2 linked regions of the Callithrix jacchus genome follow. The protein of the gene in region 2 binds, or shares a complex with, the protein of the main gene of each other region. Links are inferred from orthologs where the notes say so. Each region holds a gene or a part of one and is shown on either strand. Other genes may lie near its edges. The genes, in order: TUBG2 and TUBGCP5.

What was found.
Region 1: TUBGCP5 (region 2) and TUBG2 share a complex: the UniProt entries of both Homo sapiens proteins name them as parts of the gamma-tubulin ring complex. The link is inferred for Callithrix jacchus from reciprocal best matches to the Homo sapiens genes TUBGCP5 and TUBG2.

Annotation. Positions count from the first base shown.
Region 1 is NC_133506.1:121,223,379-121,225,950, reverse strand, and holds the end of TUBG2 (tubulin gamma-2 chain), read left to right. Parts: intron 1-496; coding exon 497-583; intron 584-698; coding exon 699-848; intron 849-1,065; coding exon 1,066-1,218; intron 1,219-1,300; coding exon 1,301-1,462; intron 1,463-1,584; coding exon 1,585-1,782; 3' UTR 1,783-1,978; downstream 1,979-2,572. UniProt on the Homo sapiens protein: Tubulin is the major constituent of microtubules, protein filaments consisting of alpha- and beta-tubulin heterodimers. Gamma-tubulin is a key component of the gamma-tubulin ring complex (gTuRC) which mediates microtubule nucleation.
Region 2 is NC_133507.1:1,837,821-1,841,644, forward strand, and holds part of TUBGCP5 (gamma-tubulin complex component 5), read left to right. Parts: intron 1-852; coding exon 853-1,055; intron 1,056-2,578; coding exon 2,579-2,622; intron 2,623-2,713; coding exon 2,714-2,875; intron 2,876-3,824. UniProt on the Homo sapiens protein: Component of the gamma-tubulin ring complex (gTuRC) which mediates microtubule nucleation.

The sequences.
Region 1 (2,572 bases), on a different chromosome or scaffold from region 2:
TGGGATTCCTTTGTGTGTATTTCTAGGAGTTAACTATACTTTTCTGTTTTATATTTAGTGCACCTCCTTCCATACTAGACTGCAGACCTAATGAAGGGAAAGATGGTGCCTGTTCCTCTCTGTGGTCTTCCCAGAGCCAGGCAGTGTACGCACATGTGGATACTCATGTGTTTGTTTACTGCCCTGCATGGTCCGAGAGTATCTCATGATGCCCCAGAGACAGTACTTTTGTTTCTTTTTATTTTTTATATTTTTTATGGAGATGGCATCTTGCTGTGTTGTTTAGGCTGATGTCCAACTCCTGGCCTCAAGTGATCCTCCCACCTCAGCCTCCCAAAGGGCTGAGGTTATAGGTGTGAGCCACCATGCCCAGCAGTTTTTGTTTTAAACTAATAAACCTCTTCCTGGATCTGGAGTTCAGCAGGGGTTAAGCCAATATCTTATTTCTATGCCCATTTTCTCCTCAAGAAGCTGTGACCCTCTGCTGTCCCCGCAGGTGGTGCTGGACAACACAGCCCTGAACCGGATTGCCACAGACCGCCTGCACATCCAGAACCCGTCCTTCTCCCAGATCAACCAGCTGGTGGGCCCCCACTGCTGGACTCCTTTGGACTGGAAGCCCTCCTTTCTGGAGGGTCATCTGGGGAAGGGAGGTCCCACTCAGGCCGAGGCCTATGACATGGCACCCCTGTCCCCAGGTGTCCACCATCATGTCAGCCAGCACCACCACCCTGCGCTACCCCGGCTACATGAACAATGACCTCATCGGCCTCATCGCCTCACTTATCCCCACTCCGCGGCTCCACTTCCTCATGACCGGCTATACCCCGCTCACTACGGACCAGTCAGTAAGAGCAGCCTCAGTGTCCCAGGCCAGGCCAGCCCTGGGCCCCGCAGGCCCTACCTTAGCCTTTCTCTCCTCCTCTCTGCCCCAGAAGCTTTGCAGGCGACTTTCTTGTTGACTTGCTCTCTACCTCCCCTCTGCCTTTGGCTTCTGCCAAAGAGAAACCAAAAGGGGGACTGTGTCCTGAGCCCTGGCTGGGTCCCCGTTTCACTGTCCATCAGGTGGCCAGCGTGAGGAAGACCACGGTCCTGGATGTCATGAGGCGGCTCCTGCAGCCCAAGAATGTGATGGTGTCCACAGGCCGAGACCGCCAGACCAACCACTGCTACATCGCCATCCTCAACATCATCCAGGGAGAGGTGGATCCCACCCAGGTAGGGGAGGCCCCTTCATCCCATACCCTGGACCCACAGGGGTAGAGGAGAGGCCACTCCACTGCTCCTGTGCCTACCCCAGGTCCACAAGAGCCTGCAGAGGATCCGGGAACGGAAGTTGGCCAACTTCATCCCATGGGGGCCCGCCAGTATCCAGGTGGCCCTGTCGAGGAAGTCTCCGTACCTGCCCTCGGCCCACCGGGTCAGCGGGCTCATGATGGCCAACCACACCAGCATCTCCTCGGTGAGTCTGGGTTTCTGTTCTTAGGACAGTAGGACAGTCTGTTCCACTGGTCACCTTCATCATCTTCCCCAAGTTTGTTCCTAACCCCCGGCTCGCATTTTGGAGATTTTTGTCTCTTTCAGCTCTTTGAAAGTTCCTGCCAGCAGTTTGACAAACTGCGGAAACGGGATGCCTTCCTTGAGCAGTTCCGTAAGGAGGACATGTTCAAGGACAACTTTGACGAGATGGACAGGTCTAGGGAGGTTGTTCAGGAGCTCATTGATGAGTACCATGCCGCCACACAGCCAGACTACATCTCCTGGGGCACCCAGGAGCAGTGATTTCCCTCCCTACTACTCCTGGACGGGAAGCACAGCCTCAACCATGCCTGCACCCTCTGACCCAACTTCACCTCATGGACAACCCTTCTTGGCTTATCTCCAGCGCATGAGCTGGTCCTGCTTCTTCTCTCCATGCCCTGACTCTTGATATGCTTCTTCAGCTCTACTAAAGTAATAAAGCTTGGTTGTCAGTATAGCCAGGGCTTGATCTGTGAATACAGGGGGTGGTGAAGGGGTCCAGTTTCTAGGCATCTGACATAGGGTGGCCTTCACCTCCTCCATCGTCTTACCCCTTAGTCCAGATTTTAGTGTGTTCACTTTCCACTGGCCTCCCTCACCTTGAACTGGGCTGTTTTACTAGAGGCAGCCCTAAGATTACAGAGCTTTACTGAGGTCTGCTGTCTCCTCAGTACCTAAGCCTTTGCCCCAGGGAAGGTCAGTGTTGCCCCAGCCTCTTCCACTCAGGGCAGAGGAGGTGGGGTCTCTGTCTCCTCAGTGCCTAAGCTTTTGCCCCAGTGAAGGTCAGTGTTGCCCCAGCCTCTTCCACTCAGGGCAGAGGAGGTGGGGTCTACTGAAGGAGGGCACACTGCATTCCGAGCAGGCCAGGAGAGCCGGGACTCTGGAATCCCAGTGCCCAGAGCCATGAGAGTCCCAGGAACTCACTCTAGTTCAACCCAACCTGGTAAGTAGAAGCAGAATTCAAGAGTGGGGCTGAGCACATCCTGAGTTACTTTTCTGTGCCAGAGAAATTCGTGGGTTTGTTATCTGCCCCAAGCTTCTCTCCATTCTA
Region 2 (3,824 bases):
TCTATGGGGAGGTACAAGTAAACAAATGTATACTCTTGTGAGCCATGTAGATGAATACCTGTTTCCTCACACTCTTGCCATCCGTGTGTTGTCAGACGTTTTGGTCCTCATCATTATAGATTATAGCAGATGTAAAGTGGTAACCCATGTAGCTTTTTACCCTTAACTTTTAGTTTGAAGTACCACAGAAAATAATACAGAGAGGTCCTGTGTTCCCATTACTTTACTTCCCCCGGTAGCAGAACCTCACATAGTTATAGTACATGATCAAAAGTGGGAAACTGACACTGGCGTGGCCCATTAGCCAAGCCGCAGACCTGACGCAGTTTCCCATTGTTGCAGGAACTTGCTTTGAGCAGGGGTGGGTGTAGTATCTTCGTGTATAGTTCCAGGCCGTTTTATCACATGTCTAGCTCCACATGGTGACTTCCATGTTGAGGTCCCAGCTGTGCCGTCGCCTCACAGGAGCTTGTGCAGCCCTCTCTAGGCACAGCTTCCTACACTAACATTGGCCCATGGGGAGGTGTTTTGTTTTACCTAGTATAATTTTAATTTGCATTCTTTTATTATAAGTAAGGTAGCTTGACTTTCTGTATGTTTTAGAACCCCTCATCTTCCCTTTTCTGTGAACTGTCAGTTTTTTTATATATTTTTCTGCTGAGTTACCTTTTTCTCCATGACTTGCAGGAGTTCTTCCTTAGGGAAGTTAGGTCCTTGTGATGTGCAATCAAAATCCACCATCCTTCATTTTCCCTGCCTGCCCATAAACCTGATGATTTGCCAGCATTTATGTCACATTTTACATGCATGTATTTTTCCTTGCTATTGAGTTTGATCTGTTGATATTTGCAGATGCTACAATAACTCTTGCAATAGTGGTGGACAAGCTGTCGCCTCGATTGGCTCAGCTCAAGGTTCTGCACAGAGTGTTTAGTACCGGAGTAGCAGAAGTTCCACCTGATACTCGAAATGTCGTCCGGGCCTCCCACCTGCTCAACACTCTGTACAAGGCCATCCTCGAATATGACAATGTTGGAGAGGCCTCTGAGCAAACCGTATGTGAGACTTCTGCCTAAAGTGCGTGACTCCATTCTGCACAGCACAGGGGTGGGAGACGGCTGGTCATGGTTCTGTGCTTAATGATACTGGAATGGTGACCTGTCGGACAGTTCAGAGTTGTCAAATTAGCTTCCAAATTTGAGGCTGTAAGAAACAACTTTTCAGCTCTAATTGCCAAGACCCTCAAAAGGATGAGGCGAGGGCAAAGCAGCATGTGAGACATGCCTCGCCGAGGTATATAGACGTACAATAACGCTTCCTTACATAAACACTAAGCCTGTTACAGGAAGTGTCTGACGTAGTCACATTCACAGAAACAGAGTGGAATGGTGGTTACCAAGGACTGGGGAGGAGGGAGCTGTTATTTAATGGGTACATAGTTTCAGTTATACGACATGAAAACGTTCCGGAGATTTGTCACAACAATGCGAATGTACTTAAAACCTCTGAACTTAAAAATGGCGAGGGCGGTGCACAGTGGCTCATGCCTATAGTCTCCACACTTCAGGAGGCCAAGGGAGGACTGCTTAAGCCCAGGAGTTTGAGACTTGCCTGGCCAATATAGTGAGACCCTGTCCTTAAAAAAAAATAAGTTAAATTAAAATTTAAAGAAGAAACAAATAGGTAAGATGATAACTTTTATGTTATATATTTTATATTGTATTTAAAAAATACAAATCTAGACCAGACACAGTGGCTCATGCCTGTAGTTCCAGCTACTTAGGAGTATGAGGTGAGAGGATCACTTGAGCCCAGGAATTTGAGACCAGCCTGGGCAGCATACTAAGACCCTGTCTCTACAAAAAATTTTAAAAGTAGCCAGGTGTGCTGACATCAGGAATTTGACACCAGCCTGGCCAACATGGTGAAACCCCATCTCTGCAAAAAATACTAAAATTAGCCGAGTATGGTGGCGATAACCTATAGTCCCAGCTACTCAGGAGGCTGAGACAGGAGAATCACTTGAACCCAAGAGGTTGCAGTGAGCTGAGATCATGCCACTATACTCCAGCCTGGGCGATAGAGTGATACTCTGTCTCAAAAAATTAGTGAGCTATGGAGTAGTAGCCATTCCTGTGGTTCCAGGTATTCAAGGGGCTGAGGCAGGAAGATTGCTTGAGTGTGGAAGGTTGAGGCTCTGGCGAGCCATGTTTGCACCACTGCACTTCAGCTTGGGTGACAGACTGAGCAAGACCCTGTATCAAACAATATATAGCTTTAAAAATCTATCTAGAGGCTGTAATTTAGAAAGCTACAGTTTTATTTGGGTATGTATATCAGGTGTATTTTCCAGTTTGTTGGTATAACTTTTTTTCTCACCAATTTAATACTGCATTTCAATATAAAAGAGATTGATTTTCTCTCAGCACTGCCATTTTTGTCTGAGAGCTACTGGAATTAAGTAATTTCCTCACTCTTAATAGACACCTCGCTAGTAGTACGATTTAGATAGGGAAACCTTGCTCACCTGCCAGGGCTGTCTCAGGTCACACCTGCCTCTGTGTCATTTTCACTCAAGTTTCCCAGTCTGGACTGCAAACAATATGATCCTTCCATACTTAGGTGAGTTTCTCATAAGGATTTTAAAGCATATGTTTTTGGATTTTTTAATTTCAAGGCGTTTCAGAAATGTTTAAACCTCCTTCTGTTCTAGTGGCCAGGGAGCCCTGAGAGCTGACCGTGCACAATCTCTGCCTCAGGTCTCCCTCCTGTTCTTTCTCTGGGTGGAAACGGTGCGGCCTTACCTGCAGACAGTGGATGAGTGGATCGTGCACGGGCACCTGTGGGACGGCGCCAGGGAGTTCATCATCCAGAGGTGAGCTGCACAGAGCACAAGGTCGGCTGGCGTCACCAGTTTGCTCCCCGTGAAAATCAAATCTTTCATTACGGTACTAAGAAAGTATAGTCCATATCACAAAACTTGTCGTCATCATAGGCTAGTTCTATTTCATTTTTATGGAAGACGTCAGTAATGCCAGCCGATTATTAATATCTTTGTCCAGGTTTTGTCAGTTCACAACTTTTTTTTTTTTTTTGAGACGGAGTTTAGCTCTTGTTACCCAGGCTGGAGTGCAATGGCGCAATCTCGGCTCACCGCAACCTCCGCCTCCTGGGTTCAGGCAATTCTCCTGCCTCAGCCTCCTGAGTAGCTGGGATTACAGGCACGCGCCACCACGCCCAGCTAATTTTTTGTATTTTTAGTAGAGACGGGGTTTCACCATGTTGACCAGGATGGTCTCGATCTCTTGACCTCGTGATCCACCCGCCTCTGCCTCCCAAAGTGCTGGGATTACAGGCTTGAGCAGTTCACAACTTTTAAGCAAATTATATTTTTGGATGATAGTGTATCTATGGCTGGCTACTGTACACTGCTTCCCATAAAATGAGTTTAGGTGATATCAGATGGTTTCCGCTATTTCCAGTGTAAAGTATCGGTAAAGACATACAGAAATACTATAGAATATGCCTCTAATACATTTATTGGTCAGAATTAGCTACTCATTTCTTTTACCTTACTATAATTTTTTTTACTATTCTCTGAAGTGAATTAATTCAACTAATACCTTACTATAATATTTAATAAAAATTAAGAAAAATCTTAATCCATTTATGGCAATTTCCCTTCAGTTATTTAATTTTTCTGAACAGAATCATATAAACTATAATTAGAGCTATTTGTAGTCTTTTAACACAATTTTAAATGATGTAGTGTATTTAGATGTGCAGTTTCTATTGATAGCTATCCATTGAATGCATCAGGAAGG